3 linked regions of the Caenorhabditis elegans genome follow. The protein of the gene in region 2 interacts with the protein of the main gene of each other region in a pairwise test. Each region holds a gene or a part of one and is shown on either strand. Other genes may lie near its edges.

What was found. The genes of interacting proteins can lie anywhere in the genome.
Region 1: the proteins of drap-1 (region 2) and pag-3 interact in a two-hybrid assay, tested with the Caenorhabditis elegans proteins (one large-scale study listed by BioGRID).
Region 3: the proteins of drap-1 (region 2) and ceh-43 interact in a two-hybrid assay, tested with the Caenorhabditis elegans proteins (one large-scale study listed by BioGRID).

What each region holds. Positions count from the first base shown.
Region 1 is NC_003284.9:14,948,976-14,956,366, forward strand, and holds pag-3 (Zinc finger protein GFI1 homolog pag-3), read right to left. Parts: upstream 5,674-7,391; 5' UTR 5,547-5,673; coding exon 5,465-5,546; intron 5,419-5,464; coding exon 5,308-5,418; intron 5,263-5,307; coding exon 5,128-5,262; intron 5,078-5,127; coding exon 4,980-5,077; intron 4,931-4,979; coding exon 4,863-4,930; intron 4,805-4,862; coding exon 4,683-4,804; intron 3,086-4,682; exon of another isoform or gene 2,936-3,085; intron 2,844-2,935; coding exon 2,752-2,843; intron 2,702-2,751; coding exon 2,605-2,701; intron 2,482-2,604; coding exon 2,376-2,481; intron 2,325-2,375; coding exon 2,225-2,324; 3' UTR 1,777-2,224; downstream 1-1,776. UniProt on the Caenorhabditis elegans protein: Transcription factor. Plays a role in the determination of neuroblast cell fate and neuronal differentiation.
Region 2 is NC_003283.11:9,730,145-9,736,936, forward strand, and holds drap-1 (Transcription factor CBF/NF-Y/archaeal histone domain-containing protein), read left to right. Parts: upstream 1-1,814; 5' UTR 1,815-2,020; coding exon 2,021-2,093; intron 2,094-2,370; coding exon 2,371-2,612; intron 2,613-2,661; coding exon 2,662-3,285; intron 3,286-3,389; coding exon 3,390-3,446; 3' UTR 3,447-3,878; downstream 3,879-6,792. Other genes in the region: cal-7 (EF-hand domain-containing protein), read left to right, coding at 3,959-4,049, 4,093-4,160, 4,792-5,172.
Region 3 is NC_003281.10:4,444,874-4,451,909, forward strand, and holds ceh-43 (Homeobox domain-containing protein), read right to left. Parts: upstream 5,071-7,036; coding exon 4,842-5,070; intron 4,737-4,841; exon of another isoform or gene 4,658-4,736; intron 4,363-4,657; coding exon 4,233-4,362; intron 4,175-4,232; coding exon 4,099-4,174; intron 2,729-4,098; coding exon 2,489-2,728; intron 2,144-2,488; coding exon 1,970-2,143; 3' UTR 1,777-1,969; downstream 1-1,776. UniProt on the Caenorhabditis elegans protein: Probable transcription factor. Binds to the sequence motif 5'-ATAAT-3' in regulatory elements. Required for development of the anterior hypodermis during embryonic morphogenesis for cell adhesion; also affects embryonic and larval viability.

The DNA of each region.
Region 1 (7,391 bases), on a different chromosome or scaffold from region 2:
CACATCTGGAGATTTTTTCAAACATTCATAATGAAAGGGTGATATTTTGACATTAGATTTCTAGATAATCGTTTCATTTTTTATTCTTGTTCACTACTTATGAAGCTTGAAGAATTGCTCCAAAAGCAATGTTACAGACTCTTGATGTTTCTTGCAAATGTTTGGCCTGAATTTATCTCTGACTTCGGCCTGCTATAGTAATTTCCAAGACAACTAACAGTTTTGCAGCAAAAACCGCAAATCATTTTCAATTTAATTACTGCCATCTTTGCACAGTTTTATAGTTTATTATAGTTTATCAGTGGTTTTTTTAAATCAAAGTGCATTTTTACAATAGTTATTCAAATTTGGTAACATTTGTGAACTTACTACCAAATATACAATTTAAAAAGGTTTTGTAATTTATAAATACCATTAATAAAATTCTCAACATCACTGCAAACATGACTTAAGTTAATATACAAAATTATTTCTCAAATTCCTTCCAGCAAAGAAGTTGTGTCTCATTTCACAAACCCCGAAAGACAACTCCTCGTAGCATCTTTCGGTCTTTCTTCTCGGCGGGTTTTGCTCATTTCCAAACTAATTACTTGCACTGCATCAGTTGGAAAATCCCTCAACACCCATATTCCGGTGGCTTTTGGTAGGTGCTTTGTGATTAGGTTATGCTATTTGTAAGTCACACGAAATGACCTAATTTCGCTGGCTTTTTCTTTTCCTGTCCTTTTAATCTTCTTTTTCAACCATGGCTTTCCGAGGCTTCGTAACCGCATTGTGGCTTTATTGGGAATGAGAATTTTTGAAATTGTTGCTACGAGTTTCGGAGAACATCAGTACATCAGTACATCAATGAGTAGCAGAATGAAACAGGAACCCAAAAACCAACTCAAATAAAATATTATTTGAAAATTTGAAAAAAATGTACCAAGAGGTACCCTGAAAGTTGGGAATGTGTGGCCAATGTGATACGTCTTTGAATTTATTTTAAAATTCAGTTGCAGCTTCTTAACGAACTTTTTTCGAATTTTTACCATTTTTTTACAGCGGCTATTAATTGACATTTAATCAGTCATTCTTCATTGAACAAATTTTTTGGCATTAATTTTGCGTTGTTTCTCAGTTAAAGAAGGACTAACAGTTCGGACGATTTGAAATGTATAGACCCAAAACAAGCTTAAATGAACGATATTCGTGATTAAGCTTCTCAAAAAAAAATTTCGAAAAATTTTTATGGCGGTTCAAAATTTCGACAAAATTGCACTGATTTTAGCTGGAATCTCGAAATTTTTCCCACTTTTCTGTGTCGCATCAGTCCGATGTTGACTTTTTGCATATTCTGGTAGTTTATATTGTTCAATATCTCCAAATAAGGTACATTTAAAGCCGATAGCTTACAAATTTCAATGATTTTTGAAAAAAAAATGGGTGCAAAAATTTTGTGACTGTTTCACACATCAACCGAAAAATTATCTCCTAGCATGAAAGAGCATGATGAACCAGACAAATCTCGTCAGACCCATAATAGTCCAAAATTACCAAATATTTAAAAACTAATTATATAAGTTCCAAAGTTTTGGTAAACTGCCAAACTTTTGAACTGAAAGTACCATAAAGCTGCATTCAAATTTTTTCTACTTGCTATATTAATTTTTTTTAATTGAAAAATTTTGCTCTACAAATGTACTGAATTTTTTAAAAACCGTGTTTACTTGCAATTTTAAAGTTATCGGGTCTGACTTGAGTGCGTGTTAATAAAATTTGATAAACGAGTTTCAATATTAAACATTGTTTATTAATAAGGCTAGGCTACTCACCGAAAGCATTTCAAAAATGACAGAAAAAAACAACTGTTAATTGAAAAAAGGGAAATTTGAATAAAGCAAAAAAGCAAATACATCATATGTGCGTGTAACATCGCAATACCATAAAATTATGGAAAAGGAACTGAAAAAGAACAGATATGTATAAAACGTCTGACCATTAGCGATATAAACAATAATCAGTACATAATGTATGTGTTTTGAAAAAAGGATGACAATTGATGTTGAGGCTTGTTTAAGGATAAGAGATCAATCATCGAGTTTGTGAACTGTGTTAATGAAATTGAGGTAAGGAAAAATGTCAGTAGATAGAAAGGAATTTTTTACTAAATACAAAAAACCAAAGGTAACCAGCACAATTCTCATTGTCCTTATTACCTTTGAATACAAGAATTTCACACAAATTATGACACGCTCAAATTCAGTACTTTCTCCTCTTCATCATCAGCTTCCTCCATTTCCTCGCCCATCTCTGCTTTGATCGCGAGCAGCTCGGCGGGTAATCTAAAAAAAGCACAGTTTTATTTGATTGCACAATTTTGTTTGTGAACATGCCTAAACACGTTGAGAAATTCATCGGAAGAGTCGAGATACCCGTTGCTCGTCGGAGGTGTCATGTATCCTTTCGGGGAGAGATCCGATGAAATTTGAGAAGCAGACACTGCAATTGTTACGGTTGGTTTGATGGAAAAAGGGGGGGAGGGGGGTACTGTAGCATTTCAAAAGGAACAACCAACGAGAAAATGGTGTCCTTGATTGGCTGAAATTTGAGTGAAAAACGAACCGCATTCTTCGGGGTGGCCCGGATGGTGACTCTCGCGGTGCCGACGGCGGTCCACTTTGCGTTGGAACGTCCGACCACATACATCACAGGCAAATGGCTGAAGATAATGACCTCATTTTTAAAGAATAAGGAAAGGAGAACTGTTACCTTAAATCCAGTGTGTTTTCGTGTGTGGGTGATAAGGTTAGAAGACTGACTGAACGCTTTTCCACATACAGTACACTTGTGTGGTTTTTCACCTGAAAATAAAGTATGGGAAGTTTTAGATTAGACATTTTATTTTGTGTAATAAATTTTGGGCACGGGTGGCTAAGTGGTAGTGGTGTAGCACTGTCGCCCAAGAGGTCGCAAGTTCAATCCCACCACACCCCAAAAGCTCACCCAGCCGGCGTGGAAAGTGGGTAGTGAATTTGGTTCACGAAAGGTAAATCGGAGCATACTGCTAGTCCCGGTACGGCCTTAATTCAGACTAGAAGAGATATAAACGCAACCAGTAACCCTGATAAATCTCTGGGCCGCAGGAGGCTTCGGCTCACCCTTGAACCAAACGGACAACCTTTGTCTTTTTTTTTTAATTTTGTGTAATAAATTTTCAAACTATATTTAGAACTCAGCAGTCAAAATATAATTTTTTTTTGAAACCCTGTTTTAGGGGGAATTTGTATTTTATAAAATAAGTGAATTACTTTTCACTACAAACTTTCAATGCGTCCATGAAAAATATATGTTTTATTTTCAAAGGCAACGTTTAATTTATAGCAATTGTCTCAAATTGAACCTTAAAAAAATACAAATTTTGTTATTATTCTGTTGCACAGCAAAACCCCGTCTAGAGATGGAATCCCAAAGTTTTCATTGCTTCTTTTTCTTGTCAACTTCTGTAGATTGCTTTGCTTGTCAGCATACAAGATTTAATTTGTTTTTAATTTTCAAACGTCATTCAAAGAATCTTTTCTCTCCGCGCTTATCCAATACCCTACCCCTACCCCCCCCCCCCTACTTCCAACCTTTGACATCTCCCCTCAGAATTTTAATTTGAAGCAATTTTGCAATGTTCAAGCTGTGTTGAGCTCAGCGATGCTCCTCGCTGTGGTTTACTGCCTCTCGGGGAGTCTGTTAGTTGAGGATGGGGGGGAGGGGGATAGCAAAAACGCGATTTAATATTCAATTTTGATTTGTGTTGCGGAACGGTAGGGAGGAGGGGCACTGACATGACTCGACTCTTTCATACTGATTCATCAATCATACTTAGAGATGAGCAGGGCGCGCAGAAAAGAAGAGGAGGCTCATGTGCACACGCATCTGACAACTTTTCGATTCATAATAAACCAGAATAACGATTTCTCTTCTTTCAGAGTTGAATTTTCAATGAATCGTGTTAAGCGAAAATAAACGATGATTGCTTAAAACGAGTTGAAATTGTAATTGAAAAAGATATGGTGGTTCGCTTCAAAGACAAAATTTGAGTTAATTGAACTTATGAACTAGGGCTTTGAATCTTCTATAAAAAGCATGAAACCTTGCTGGAAACACTTATCAATATTTTTTAAGATAAACTGTCACATAAAGAAATAAGTGATGCCAAACTAGTAGGGAAAAATGGTAACTCAAAAAAAATTAAAAGAAAAGTCATAAAACCTTTTTTATTATTTTCTAAAAACTGGCTACATTGAATATTTATTCAAAAGCTTAAACGAACATATACATATAAAAAATAGGTTTGTCAGAAAATCCCACGTTTTTGAAGTACTCATGTATCATATTGCAAGCAAAATTTATATCGATTTTACGCCGTAGTGTCTCCTGCATCACAGCTAGTTTTATAATTTCAACATCCTAATGCGAGACCATGTCATAGAGGATTTTGTGTTTTTGAGCACAATGTACAATATAGGCAATTTAGTGGTTTGGGTGCAAAATACATACGTTCAGCGTGTTTGTAATTATTAAATTTTGTATTTCATTGGGAATAATTAATTTTAACCTAACTTTATGAGCAGAATTGCGTTATTATTTGCTGTTATAAATATTATCTTTATCGATAAATCTAGGATATCCTATCAATTTTACCAACATACCTGTATGAATATATGTGTGTTTTTTCATGTCCGACTTCTGATGAAATCTTTTTCCACAGTATTCACATGGATACGGCCTTGTGTCGGAGTGAATCAGAAGGTGTGTAGATAAGGTGGAAGATCTGAAATTGAAATTTACTTTTTTTTAAATTATGTTTTCATGATAATTAAAGTGCATACCTTTTGAAGGTTTTTCCACACTGCTTGCACTCAAATTGCTTATCGCTGACGTGTACTTGTTGGTGTTGCTGAAAAGTTTTAAATTTTTGAAAATTATTTTAAAAATACTGGTTTCACCTCTAGAGCAGCTATGGTAGAAAATAATTTTGTGCATTTTTGGCAATGAAACGGTTTGATTTCCACTGGAGGTGTCGGTGTTCGATTCCAAACTGAAGCTTAAAATACATATTAATGTGAATAGATAAATGTTCAAAAAGCTTGATACCTGATGGTGATTCAGGGTTCTGAGGGATGATACCCATTGCCATACTCCTCAGGTATTGCTGCCAGAACATGGGAGCGTTGAGAAATCCGAATGGAAAATTTCCAAGAATATTTACAGGAGGAGGACGGGGCATTGCTGAAATGAAACTTGATAGTTGGAAACTCGGAGGTTCTAGCATACTTTGCTGCATCATGAGGAGCTTTTGTTGTAGTGATATGGTAGCGGCCATTCTCTGCCAAGAACTCATCACATCTTCTGTGATCATGAACTCATTTCTATCTTCAATTGATTCTGAAAATGTCGTTATTTTTGAATTAAAATAGATTTATGCACAAACCTGTTGGTGAAACACTAGACTTTTCCACGTTCGAGAGTAACGATTCAACAGAATAGACATTTGACACGTGCTCAGTGCTCATCTTCGTCTCAACACACAAAAAATGAATAAGGGAGTAGGACGAGGACGAATCTCTGGAAACGCGTGCCTTGAATAAAAATTTTTGAAATCTTGAAATTCGAATTTGGCACCCTGTTCGCTGAGCCACTGAAAAAAAAGAAACGAAAATCTTTGTGATTTCTAGAGAATTGGATTAAATGAGACAAGAACAGCGGATGGGAAAACAAGAAGATGAAGACGTCAAATCAAGGGTCCATAGGGATTTCTGAGGATTTAGAAAAAGACGAAATCAAGGCCAATTAGGAACTTTGGAATGGATTAAAGATTTGAAACTGGAAAGTTAGCAGGAAGTGAAAACGAGTTGAATCTTTCTTTTTTTTTTCAAAGCCATTGTCATTTGTGCTCGGCGTAGTGTGAAAATAAGCATATAAATAATAAATATGAACATCAAACTGCATCACATCCCTATAAGCAGAGGGTAAATGGGGGGATGGCTTTGGATGTCCGAGCTGTGACGATTTGAAACTCGAGCTGGTCTACATTCAAAAACCCAACTGTGGAAGAATCTGAATGCATCTCAGCACTGATCCGTCCTCCTCCTCTTCATTTCGACCATGTTGCCCTGCCTCCTATTTTTCCCCTCAGATGCATGTTATTGGATCGCCCCGCCCCAGCAGGCAAAGTGTGCGGCGAGCTCTCGGTTAGCATATTTGTAGACGAGTCGAAAAAAGGGGAAGAGAAGCGTTGGAAAAAGAGCAGAAAGAATCCTTGAGGTCAGGTTTTATGCTCAATCTATTATGCTTGTTTTAATAATCTCATACGATTTACGATGTAGTTCAAGCATGAACTCAAAGTGACATAATCGGAGGCGCGCTGGTGAGTGTGAGCAACACTTTGCTCTTCTTGTCCAGCAAAGGGCATGTAAGGGACATTAATGGAATTTTTAAGAGCGTGAAGCGCAAGAATCTCACTGCCAGAATGCGAAAGTAGGAAATCTGCAAAAAAGAGGAAACGTCGAAAAACTGTTTCATCGAAAATTCATAGAGCTAAAAATCCCACGATTTCTTAGTACAAGGAACTCGAGCTTCAAGAAATAGAGAGCTTTTAGTTGGAAATAATAGAAGTTGATAACTTGAAGCAGGTCGTACAATGTGAAAATTTTACAGTATTTTCACAGTAGTTTAAATATCTCAGAAACTTCTGCAAAACTTGCAGAATTCTAACAAGATCAGTTGTAAATAAATTCACTTTCTGGAGTTGGATTTGGCAGTGCCTGTCAAAAATCTAGTGTCTGCTGCTAATTCGTATTCATTCCCCGTACCGTAATTAGTATTCATGTGCACTATGCGAGCTTGCGCACTCTTCAACATGTGGGAAGACAATCCATTGGAATTTCAATTTCTCGAATCGCATTTCAATCTTTTGGGTTGGCTTCAAAATGGTATACCCATTTCCGAGCTCTTTTCTCCACACTCAACCTTCCATCGCTCCTCCGGTGCTATGCATTTTTAAACGACTTCCCACAGTGATGGCGGGGGGTTCCAGGGATGGAGGAAGAGGGGGGGGGGGGGAAGAGCGAGAAGATTGAAATAAATTGAGTGTCATCCTAATGCATGAATTTGAGTTGGGTGGGCTCACTGTGTGATGGAAACGACGTGTCGAACAACACCCAGCCAAAATAGCGATATGGGTGTTGAATTGAATGCATACGGTCTTTTGATTTATGGAATTGTTTTTCGTGTTGGGTTAATTAGAAAAGAAGAAGTCCGTGAAAAATGGAAAAAAGTCTAAGAAATAGTTAGGTTTATGAGCATTTGGGGAGCTATCTTAGGTCAAGTTTTGGATGTTTTACAAAAATGTTAACATT
Region 2 (6,792 bases):
CAGCAGCAGCCAATTGTCACTGGTGAGTTCTTTTATTGGTTAAAATTTAATATTGAAAATCGATAAACTAAAAAACTCTGCATAATTAAATAGTAAATTCGTGTTCAATTTCGTTCTTTCCGAAAAACAATGTTGAATTCAATCGTCGACTGAATTTCTGATTTTTTTTTCTGAAAAGATATCACATTTTCTATTAATTCTAAGTAGTCTGAACCAGCTGGGCGACAATTCCAATTTCGCTATTTTGACAGTTAAACAATTGCGGAAAATACTGAGTTATCGAAAGTTCATCAATTCATCAATTTCCAAAAATGCCGATTGCTGGGAAATTGAAAATTCTCTAAAAATGTTCATATCCAAGAAGAAAATCTGAAAATCTGTAAATTTTTATAAGTTAATATACAAAGAAAAATTAGATAAATCTTTTGCCACAAAAACTTCACTGCTGTACGAATTAAATTTTCTTTCATTTGTAGATTTTTTTCAAAATATTTTAAATGTGCACAAGACATTTGGCCAAATTTTTAACTTGATCAATGTCGATCAATATATTTGCCGAAAATGTTCTTTTGCCGCCCATCCTGGTCTGAACTTAAAAATGTTTGCGCAAATTTGCCTCTAAGTTTTTTTTCTAGTAAATTGGAGAATAAAAATTCGCAAAAAGATCTCAATCACCTCATAGGCAACAATTGCAAAAATATCCGTTCAATAATTCTTTATGCAAATACTGAACAGTTAAGATAATTTCATCATTTCAATATCTCGACTTTGCTTCACAAAAGAACAATCAATAATTCGACGGCAAGCTGACAAATCAGCCATCTATCCATCTGTCCGTCTGTCCACACAAAAACATACAAATCGAGTATGCGGAGGAGGAGTCTATGTTCTTTCCCTCAACTCTCTGCTTCTCTCATCTTCTCTTCCCTCTCATCTCGGCCCGTACAGCTGCATCAAAGACTCTCAAACATCGGCGCGGCGCGGGCGCACGCTAAATAAAAGGGGGAAAAGGTAGTGAAACGACACGTGGAGACGCAGAACAAGCAGCGGGTACCGTAGTCGCGCAGACCTGCGAATCACCGATTTGTCCGCTGTATATAAAGGAGGGAAGAACGCGAGGTCTGCGTGTGATCGGCCAGCGCCTTTCTGCTCCTATTCTCCGTTTTTCCCCCTTCTATCTCCTCTTTATACACTATTTCCCTTAGATTCTCTCGTCTCCTCACCGAAGCGCTCAATCACTCGTCTTTACGCGCTCTCCTCCAGTCCTGGCCAGTAGATGTGTAAGTGTGTGTGTGTGCGTTGACATCGAATCGAATCGACACGACGCAGAATGGAATAAATGGCGTTATCATTAAAGAATGAAATAACCAAAATGAAAGCGAGAAATAGAAAAAAGGAAGATACCATCACGCCTCTTTTTTGTTATCAATTGTTGTACTGATGTGATGATCTATATTGTTATAGTGATCGATGAGACCCGAACGGCTGTGTACATACAGAACATATAGAACATAACACACTTGTTGCGAAACGGAGTTGCTCTAACGGGAAATGAAATATAACAAAATCTAATTATCTGAATCCCTTTGTTACTGAGCACAGAATATTTTAATAATTCCAATCAATATCAAATAGTGACCATTAATTTTAGAAAAAAAAGTTTGCGTTGATTATTCATGGGCTCTAAATGTCTTTTCCAAAGTTGTTAAGAGAGCTTCTATGAATGAAACATCATGTCCTTCTTTCATGGTTCAATAATCTCTCATTTCATCGCTTTACCTCAAGAGTATTATACAGTAGCTTCCAACTTTCAGTTAGTCTCAGGCCCATCATCGATGACGTCTTCGGAATAGTTCTATATCTCTCGAAAACCACCCGTTGTTCGTTCTTTCTCTCTCTCATTTTGTGCCTCCAAATCTCCACAACATCGTCTTCTCTCGTCAGCAACGTTTCCGTCGGAGACACTGACACTTTTGGAAGGAAACCAGAGAATACATATTTCGAGAGAGGAGAAAACAAGATGGATCAGAATAGAGGAAGCGATGTTGGCTTTGCGGTGCCGATGTTACCCGTCAATTATGCATCGGCTACTCGTTAGTTTTGACCTTATCTTTTAGGGTGGATGGAACAAAAAAGAAACTCGATTATAGATAATCGGAAAACGTACATTCATAAAATCTTAAAATGAAAGCTTATTTATTTTCAAAAACCCTTAATTTGTTTTGGGTAAAACCGTCAGTATCCGGCATCATTTCTGGATCATGAACTATCTAGAAACTTCAAAAAATATGCGACTTAAAACAATTTGTAGATGTAATATCTAAGAATTAACAGATTAGGATCAAATCGTTATTTAAATTTATTTTTCAGAAAAAATGTCAACGTTGGCATCCACTTCATCAGCCGGTGCTTCATCATCAACAGGTAGCAGCAACCAACAGCAGCAACAGGCAGCTGCTGTGATCCGAAGACGTCGTTTCAGCACTGCAAAAATTCAGCCAACACGCATAAAGAAGGTTATGCAAAGTGATGAGGATATCGGAAGAATGGTTCAGTCAGTTCCTGTCAGCATCGGAAGAGCAATGGAGCATTTTGCGGAGAAGTTTTTACAGGTGAGAAGACTCAGTCATAGTTATTTTGAACCTTGAATATATATTTGAGGCTGCCGCAGAAGCTACTCAATTCACATCTTCAAAGACGCTAAACCCTCAACACATGAAGCAGGCGGTTCTCAACACTCCACACTTTTCATTTCTAGAATCAGTCTTCAAAGATGTTGCACTTCCACAGCAAGCATCTGAATTGAATACTGCACGTACCGGCATGACATTGAGAGGACAGCAAATGCTCCAAGAGCAACAAAATTCAGATTTTGCTAGTGCAATTCTTGCCAATGCGCAGATGCAAATGATGCAAATGGATCAACAAGCATTGAAACAAGAAGATGGAACTATTTCTCCTTATTTAGTTGATCCGCAATCCCCAGCAGCACCACTTCCACTTTATCTTCAAGGGATTCCATCCAATTATCCAGTAGTTCAAGAACTCACAGCCACCGTACCACTTTCTCCTAGCACTCCGACAACTCAACTCGTAAATGGTATGCTAGGAATGCTCAAATACTCGAAAAAAGATTCTGAAGGACAACGTCTCACAGGATTAAAACGAGCATCTACTGATGGTGATGGAGAAGACAGACCAAAGCGAGGACGCCCAAAGAAGTTAAAACCTGAAAAATGTATTGATGATGATCTCTACGAGGAAGCTTCTAGGAATATAGCCAAGGTAATATTTGAAAAGTTTAGACATAGAATCAAAATGTTCTAAAGATGTAATTTGATTTACGGTTCTGTGATCCTTTTGATCTAAAGCAAAATTATCATTTTCAGGAAGACAAGGATCGCGAGTTGATGCCTCCTCCAGCACTGCCTATTGGCCGTCCGTGATCCTCACTTCTCTATGAGAAATTTTATTCTTCTCCTAATCGTGTACTTTTCAATGGTCTCGTTGCCCTCCATTTCTGATCTAAATTTCTCCTTTTCTATTGCTCCAAGTTAAGAAAAAAAAAACAAATCCTCACCGGGTCTACCCTATTCTCTATTTCTCTTGTTTTATTCATTTTTTGTCGTTCACTGGCAAATCAAAATTTAATCACTTCGATGTTCTCCCAATATGAACCATTACCGACCCACACCTTCATAAATCAGGATGCTCGTCGCTTTTCATTAAACCTTCCAAATGTTCTCTGTCATATGTTTAACTTGTTTTGCTCTTTGTCTCTCTAATTCAATTTTTCTCTTCATTTTTATATTTGTCATGCTTTAGAATTCAATTTCCGTTTTTGTAGTATTTAATATAAAAATTATTCAACCAGAAAACGTATATTTCCGACAGAAAAGACCACTAAACTCGCGCAACAACTAGAGCGATCTACATTATATTAGTATTCAGCTAAATTATGGATCTGAGCGAAGATGAAGATTTATTAAACATTGAAGAAGAAGGGGAAAATGAGAGCCAAAAAGAAGAAGTAGATTCTGTAATTGTTGGTTTGTAATATTTTGTCCAATTTAAACAAAAAAGGAAGTTCAGAAGATATTCGACGTCGTCTTTTCGATGTATTCAAGATGTTTGACGAGGATTCTGATGGTTTGATTGAAGTGAGGATTACTGTAGTTACTGTTGAAACTTGGCTTTTCACGTGGTGCTTTTCTCCAACTTTCTACTCATTTATATCATTAAGAACCGGATCAAATAGACATTCCACCTAGTGTAGGCGTCACGGGGAGCCTATTCCCGCCTTCCCACTCGCCTTCCTCGCGCCCTTCAGTAGGGTGAGTGAAGAGGCGAACACGCCTCGAGTGCATGAAGTTATTTTTCATACTTCATAAACTCTTAAATGTTTCTCCTGGCTCTTCCAATTAGTAGGAGCGTCGTCAATATAAAAGTTGTACCTATAGCTGAAAATTTCTTATTGATATTCGTTGAAAACTCAATTTGCATCTCTATAGGTTTTCTTTGTTTTCGATATTCTAGTATTGTTTTGGTTATTTTTATTGTAACAGTTTAGAGATTCAAACCCGCGCCAATGCATGAAATATCTCAAAAAGTTCACATTTTTTGAAAAATTTGGTAAAAACTGACTCAAATTTTTCAAAAGTCGAAATACTTTTTGGAGAGTTTTATTATGATATTCGGCTATTATGGACCTCCACTGAATCTTTTAAATCCACTGAATCTTTAAAATGTCTCCACTGAATCTTTTAAATCTTTCTTAAACTGAAATTCCAGACCGACGATGTGAGTCACGTTCTCCGAAGCTTTGGATTGAACCCCAGTCAAACGGAATTGCAATTGGTCAGTGAACAAACTGCAAAGAAAAATGGAAGAGTTTCATTCGATGACCTTCTGCCCCGTGTCGTATTGGCAATTCAAAATGAAGAATGGAAAGATGATACTCCGAAACAAATCCATGCTGCATTTCAAGTAATAACATCTAATAATTATGTTCAAAAAGATACATTATTGCAATTGCTCACTTCAATTGGAGAACCATTGACTCCACAAGAAGTTAAGCAATTTCTGAATCATGTCAGCATTCGAGCAAATGGAGATATTGACTGGGTTTCGTATGTTAAAGACACTTGCGAAATGATTACTTCTAGAGATTAAATCTTTAATTTTAGTTGTAAGGATTATCACTTTTTTTTTTGGAAAATTTCTATAAATCTTCATAAACGTGGATGCCTTCAACCATCCCAACTTTGTTGGAAACTAAAGCCAAGAGAGCAAATTTTCCAGAAAATTAAGATATGTACGTTTCAAATCTTGCGTACCGTCTGAATTTAGTTGCAAACCCTTTGGACATGGCCTTGTTCTCAGAAAAATAACATTTTCACAGACCCACTTACACTTCTAGTTATAACCTTGTGACACACTTTCTTTTGGATCACTGGTAATCGTAACTTTATGATGAGTTGAACAACTTTCCATATCAAAACTAGACATGAATAAAAGTGATTCAACGATGTACCTTAGGGCGTTGACGATCAAATTATCATTACCTACGGATAATCAGTATCTATTATAATACGAATATGTCTTTTCGGTGATGGAAATGTCTGAAAATCGTTTAATATGTTGCAGACGGATAATTTTAAACAATACAAGAAGCTAACTCGTCAATGTTTTAAATACATCGTGAGCCCGTTGTCCCCAGAATTTCAGGCCGTGCGTGACTGCAAAGTTTTCAAAACCACAATTGCACATATCAGCCCTCCTTTTTGTTGGGCCTCTAAAGAGCATGACAACTTTATTTGTTAAGCAAAAAATTACCAATTAGTTTGTGTTCTACAGGGGAGCAACACAAAGGTTTTTTGGCACTAAAGATCCTTCAAGGTTATAATTGCCACGTTTTCAGAAAGACTAACAGCAAATTGAAACACGGACTACTCGTGTGTTATTTATCAGATCAACTGCAATCATTGCATAGTTCAAAAATCTCTACATATAAACCACTTTTCTAATTAGAAAAAAAATCGGTGCAATCTCTCAAAACTGGACACGGACTGTTTTTATTTAAATACATTTTATGCCAAGAAATATAAATAAAATAATATAAATTACTTTTCCTAAATGTTCCTCAATTTATATATTCTTAGTCGTTTTGGTCTAAACTCTCTGGTCATTTAGAGCAACTTAAAATAAAATATCTACACATATTACAGTCGATCTTGGTGCAAATAGGGAGAAAATCCAATTCATATTTAGACCCATTCATCAATATTTCAGTCTGTTCGGTTATCAGTTGATGCACAGCGTTCTATAAATAATCCGTGATAAGCCTCTAGCTCATTGTCACATTAAAAAACGGCGTCGAAATTTGAAGAATTCGATGATAACTCCATTTGACGGGAAATAGTGTGTAGTATGGTTAAAAGTTCAAGTTTTGTACGGGTATGATGACAATATATTTTTCTTTGAAAGGTTATAGTAAAATCATCGAAAATTCAATTCTTTGGAGGTCAGTATTGTTGACGATGACTTGAAATAGGAATTAAAGTAACAAACTAGAAATAATAAAGCTATCGAAAAATTAGTCAAAATGGTCAAAATGAGTTGACCAGCAAATTTGGAGCATAGAAAAAAGCAAATCAATTAAATAACTGAAACTAAAAAAGTGTAGCTTTTCTGCAATATTAAAAAAATATTATGCAGGCTGGTCGCAAAAAAACTGTTAAAAAAATGTAAGGAAGATATTTTTCTAACTTTGGATTTTAAATTGGTGTCATC
Region 3 (7,036 bases), on a different chromosome or scaffold from region 2:
TCAGGCGCCGTTCCGTCGATTCCGCCATTTCACCGCCGACACACACACGTTGAAATGATGGAAAAACCCCTTTTGATGAGAGGAACGGGCGGTATGTGAAAACAGACTGATGAGTGATTTATTGAGAAAATGTCAATGAAATTTAGTGTTGAAATTTTGGAATTTGTGACAGGCAGGCAGGATCCTGGCGCCTACCTGCCTGCCTGTCGTGTCTTGTCGGCGTTTTTTTTCAACATAAAAGTTAGAGTTTAAAATTTTAAAAATCGCAAAAATTGAAAATTTTTAAGCGTTAAAATTATAACTTTAGTTTAAACAACTTTAGACGAAAAATTCAAATTTTTAACTTTTCAAAAAACATTTTTGTTCGGGAATTTCAAAGTGTTAATTTTTAGAAAATTATTTGGCATAAAAAATTTATAATAAAATTGTTTAAAGAATCATGATTTAAAAAAAGCTAGCATTTGAACAAAAAAAACAATTTCTAAATATTTTTCCCTACAATACATCTACCGTACCACTATCATATCTACAGTAAAATATCAAATCCGCTGCTAACTTTAAGAAAAACTCTTTATATTTGCAAAATAGTATGAAGATTTTAATTTTTTATTCACTAAAAGTACAATTTACAGTAAAAAAGATAGTATATCAATATGATAGGAATCTAATTATAAATAAAAAAGACGGGCACCCGGTTGGCCGTTGGATTAAAATGAAAAGACGAAAAAAACTGGAATCGGTGAAATTGAGTTGAAGACATGAGGAAGGGAAAGAAAGTTTTAAAGAAATGAGGAAAAGCACACAGGTTGAAGGGAGTTTTAAAGAAGATCGGTAGAGATCTGAACAGTTAAAGTAAGTTTTTTTTTCAGAAGTAAGTATTCAGAAAGTAAACTGGCTCTGATCTCAAGGAATCGCGCCAAAAATCTAGTTTTCCGCGATTTCTAGAGATCAAACGGGACCTTCTGAATACATCATTTATTTGATAGAATCATTCAATTCAGCTGGGATTTCATTTTAATTGAATTTAAAATGTTACATTAAATTTAAATTTTTAAAAAATTGAATGAAAATCTCAAACAAATGTCTAAAATGATAATAAAGTCTTCTACACCTGAAAATGAGGGTTTTGGAAGGCATTTGAAAATGTAAAAATGAGCAGACTATCGCCGAATCTTGCAGGGGCACTAATATGGTGTAGCCGATGAGGTCAGATGATGCGGTGATTTATATGTTGGGTTGGTAGAGCTGCAAAATTTTCAGATTATGGAAAAGTTTTACTTTATTATTGTGTGCCTACTTGCCTGCCTACGTGCCTACCGCCTATTTTTTTTACTGCAAGTCGCATTGTAGGTAGAGAAGCAGGCGGCTTTGTATTTTGTAAAAATTAGACAGAGAATTGCAAAGCTCAGAAGAACCAAGTTTTTCTTTACGGTTCTGTTTCAAAATTATCTTCAAGTTAGTTGCAAAATGACTAAATACTGGCTCCACCCAAGAGTGTATTCAGAATTTGTTTCCAATTTTTCTATTTAAAAAAAATTATCGGGGTTTTCCGAGAAAATCAAACAATTAAAAAAACCGTACAGTTTATAAAACCAGGAAACTATTGGATTATAGTAAAGTCAAGAAATTATTTTAAATACGAAATTTGCCAAAAAATTAGGAGACTTTGTCTGGAAACTCAAAAATACAAAAATTTAACTTTTCGTCGATTGATAATTCTTGGCATTCTGCCATTTTTCAAGTAAAAAACTTTAAAAAAGCAAACGTTCAATATCGATTTATATATCAAAAACCATGAGACCATAGAAAAGTTTGGAAAGAAAAAAACACAAATCATCGAGAAAATCAATATTTTCTAGGCTGACAGCTTATTCAAAAGTGAACATATTTTAGCAAGGTACTACAAGAGCCTTGTAAAAAAGAATTTTTTAAATTAACTGACAGTCAAGAAAAAGGAAATATTATATCCTCAGACATACTTGTAAAGAGTATTCTGGTATACTCCATTTGTGTAGTCAATGCTAGGATAAGCGCCTGCCGTATTGTAGAGCGCATTGTTGGGGAAACCCTGTGACGGTGGGAGAATCGTTGAAAAGTCGGATCCGTAGAGGTAAGGAGAAGCATATTGCTCGTTGAGTGTCATCTGAAAAATATTAGGAATTATTATGCTTTGCGAAAGAGCTTGAAAGCAGACGAAGAGTGTCTGCCTGCGTGCCTACGAGGCAGGCGTGGTCGCCTTCTATGCAAACTCGTACCTGTATCTGTTACACGTATGCGTGTGCTTTTGTCAATGCAGTCACGCAGGCACACACGAGTTTTTGTGCCTACGTAAACTGCTTGAAGGCGGTTGCATTTTCGGACAGCAAAACCGTGCTTTATTTTACAGCAAAATTTCGGTGAAGGATTTTTGCAACTCAAAAAAGTTTTCAAAGAATTATTCAAAATATTTCTAGACTTGGTTATCAGATAATCAGCACATTTCACTAACCGGTGGATATTCCTCTTTCATTTCAGTTTTAATTGAACTAGATACAAGTGTTCTTGGCTCACTGCTCTCCTGAATCATAACCGATTCTCCCATCGGTGGACTTTCAGGCTTTGACTCTTCCGTATCATCATCTTCTTCATCTGATGCATGATCCGAACTTCCACCCTTCTGTTTCTTCTGCTTCGAACGCCGATTTTGGAACCAGATTTTCACCTGGAATTCAGTGATCGGTTGTGCTCTCTAAATTTTAAAAGATTTGTTTAAATTTTTAGCGCAATTTTATTGAAAAGCCCCACATCGGGGCCGGTGTGCCAATTGGTTTCCGATCCGTCGATTTTGCAAAAACTGGGCAATGTATACATAGAGAGATAGACCCTGCGTGTCCCTGTATGACATCCGTGAAAAGACGGAAGAGAGGGAAAAAGAAGAGTAATTAGCCATCCGCTAGTATGTGGTTGAATAGAGGCAAAGATTCCTATAGAGGTCACATTCACTCTTTTCATGAACTAACCGGCTGGATGTCTAACCACAAGAATCAAGTGTACTGTAGAATCACCCCAAAATTTTTGAAAGAAACATGAACTGGGTAAACTGGATTCAGAATCTCAAGTTTTGGCAGAATGATTTATGAACATTGCACCACATTTTTCACGCCGGTTTTAGCGATCTAATTTGAAGCGTAAATCATGGTGCATCGAGGTTGTGTTTTCATATTTTTTGCTCGGTTCGGATTTTTTTTCGATCACGCTACTTTTAAATAATTGGTTTAGAAAATCCACACACAATTTTCCGGACACCCAATACCAATGTGTCACACCTGTCAATCAGGCGTCCGCCCCCCGTCCGTTTCCGCTGACTTTAGATAAAATCTTGGCAGGACACATGTTTCTGTTACGGTATGATTGATATACCCGTATCCCACTTCTCAAAATTCGATAAGCATCTAACACCTGAGCGCGTGTATTCTTAAAGCTTCTTCTCCTATTGACGTGGCATAATTATGTGTTAGTTGAGAGCTTTCTCATTTCATATCCCTCGGGATATCAAAAACAATAATTAAAAGGCGATACCAGCATCTATGTCAAAATTGCGACCGCTTTTCCAAACATTCTTCAATTCTCTAAACTCAATAGCGCGTATAAAACTGGAGGAATGCACGACCTTCTCAAGACACAGTTAATGGTACTGTTTTTACGGTGAATCAAATGAAGACACGTGTGTGTCAGAGGAGGAGGGGGACTTGGATCGAGGGATTAGGAAGATTACGACTGGATTATTACATGATGGTGTGCATTTCGTCAAGGTCATTGATATGGCAGTGGGGTAAGCGGAAATTGTTCGAAAATTGACAGCCAATTTGTTAATTTTCAACTAAATTTTAGAATTTTAAATTACGAAACACACTTACCCCGATGCACCATACTTACGCGCCAGTCACAAAAATTTTAAATAAATTTCGCGCAATTTTTGTAGATCAAACCGCAACCGGACCTTTTTAATTCACGTGCAAAGATTTCAATGTTTCTCGAAAATGCGGGCCTAGTACATCATATCTTACGAGCAAGTTGCATTATATACAAAAATCTCCCCAAAATAACAAAAATAGTTACCTGAGTTTGTGATAATCCCAATTCATGTGCCAATGCTGCTCGATCCGGAAGCGCCAGATATTGTGTTTTTTGGAATCTGAAAATGAATTTGAATTAATAAATTTGCAATTTAAATAATTTTGAAAAAAACAAACTTTTTCTGAAGCATTTGCAGTTGTGATGAGTTGTAAATTGTCCGTGGTTTCCTCATTTTCTTTCCTTTCACGTTGTACTTCGCCTCACATCCTTCCACGATTTTTGTAGTTGTGTGCTCGGGAAAAGCTTCTGCAAACTTTTTTTATAATAACCCCTTTTATGTGCTAATTTTGATGCTATCTATTTCGAAACCAAATCAAAAGCAAATCATAGACCTCCATTTCTAATGATCTAGATATTTGGAGTCAAAGTCAGAAACTCTAGAAAAAGTAACACATTGGATACAAGTGCTAATGTTAGATCGCGTTTGACGTCTTTTACTTTTGACGATATTGGTAAACCTAGAACAATGACGTGTTTTCAAGATCTTTAGTTTAGATTTTGAAATTTTTAAATGAAATTTAAATAAAATTAGTTAACAAGCTTCGACCACGGCAGGATTCGAACCTGCAATCTTCTGCTCCGTAGGCAGACGCGTTATCCATTGCGCCACGCGGCCACAGTTTGAAGATGAAAAAAGGTACTTATCAACTCTCCTAGGTGTCAACAGGAGACCAAGTTAAAGCAGTTGGCAATTTCCAAAGCTTTTTCAATTCCGAGTTTCATACCTTCAGGTGAGCTTCCTGGCCCAGGAGGATACATTGCATAGGCACTCGTTTGCTGTGGTGTACCATACATAGAACCACCAGTTGCTCCATTCGTTGATGACGTCGGATAAGCATGGTAGGGGAAATAAGGGGAAACGTTAGATCCAGCTCCGTTGCTTGTGGGTGGAGCTACTCCAGATGTCTGATAATAATCTCCAGCAACATATTCGAATCCTTTTGATGGGTCCATCTGAAAAAGAAAGTAATTAAAAATATACAAAATTAAGAACTGAAGAAATGAGACGTAATCGGAATAAACACTCTGAAAATGGACAAAAAGGTGAAGAAGTAGAATGAATGAAATTGAAAACTTTTAAAATTCTCACACCATTTGAAAGGTTGCAGTTCTCACACTTTGGTTTTTGCAAGTCTTCGAGAACGACGACAAAACTTTTGATTCATGATTATTCGGTTAGTTTAGTTAGTCTCTACTGTTTAAACAGAGGAGCAGTGCCATGACATTCAACATAACATTATCAGTAATGACGTGGCAAACAAATATTTCGTAGTAGCAAGAGCATCAACTTTTCAAAAATAAAAAAAAACGAATGTGAGATGAGAAAAAAGTTTCGACCACGGCAGGATTCGAACCTGCAATCTTCTGCTCCGTAGGCAGACGCGTTATCCATTGCGCCACGCGGCCACATTGTTTCGCGATGGAGAAGCTGGACAGGAAATTCATCAAGTGATAAGTACATGATAACGATAACAACTTTCATCTAGCATGCATTTTAAACAAAAATCAGTTACCATAAACTTTGAAGACTTAGAATTAGCTGAACTGATGCACCGAAGTCATAACCCTATCATTATGATCCCCAAAAACTTCTCACACCCCCACACAAGATCCAACTTCAACAAATTTCGGGTCAATTATCAACGGCAATTTAAAATTTCAGATGGATGGCAGTTGAGAGAGAGAGAGAGAGACAAGACGATTACCTAAAATTTGAGTGAAAGAAGAAGGAAAAGAAGAAAGGTATGAATTAGGATAATAAGGGAGGAGATGGAAGATTCAGAAGATTCAGATGAAGAAGAAGTAGTTGAAGAAGAAGAAGATTATGATGATGGTAGTGGTGGGAGGGAATGGGCACTAGTAGGCACATACACATAGCACAACACACCATCGCAAAAGGGGGAAGAGAGACGATGCGGGATGTGGAGAGGAGACACCTCAAAACTGATGGGCGGTACGTTGGTTGTGGGCGGAGTAGTCGTCTCCTATTGGACACAGTATTCTCTGGGTGGAGCCATTGGGGTCGCTAGGTGACCATCTTATCAGAAGATTTATCTGAAAACTTTTTCACAACTCGATCCCCTACATATCAAATTGTTTAATGATGATTTCAGAGCGGATGGGGAGAGACAAGACAATTATTTTGGAAAAGTGCCGGGGGGAGAGGCTGGCAGTAGAGAAAAATGGTTGAGGTATAATTTAGCCCAATTATCTTTCAGAGTGTGTGTGCCTCAACAGGGGGACCCCGCCCTATATTGTAGCTAATTGCTGGGTGTACGTGGTGTAGAGAGAATGGATAAAGCGAGAGAAATAGTGAATTGTGGCTGTAATTGCGTGTAGCCAAAAGGGCCTCAATCTTCTCGGTCCCCACCACACCGCCGGCCGTCATCATTCCTTCAGTTGGAACTGAGGCGTTCCCGTGCCCATTTTTTCATGATTTTCAGAATTTTTGATTTTGAAGCTTTTTTGGATAGTTTCTATATCTTGGTCCTTTGCATTTGAGCAAGTTGCCCGTGCACACTCCTGGCGAAGATAACATATGACTGCCTTTCCGAGTACCATCTTGGGGAGACATCTTTGTGTCAGCATGGCTTCCAAAATCTAATTCATTCCTGATTCCAGAATTATCCCCTCAAATCCCTTATATGAGCTCTGTAACACTATTGCTCTTCCAAACTGTACATATTTTATCCAGGTGGTAAAGTCTGTTCTTCCAATCCAGTAAGAGTTGTCACCTAATTAAGAATCCCAACTTTTTCGTTCACAGCTTCAGAATCTTTAAGGTTTTGCCGTCGGCACCATCTGCCATGCTCACGCCAACTGTTCTTTTGTATTTCCATTTTAACTATAGTCTAAAATGGACATTGAGCCACCACACAGTTCCAATTTTTCAATTGTCTGATTTTTTTCGTAGGAACGA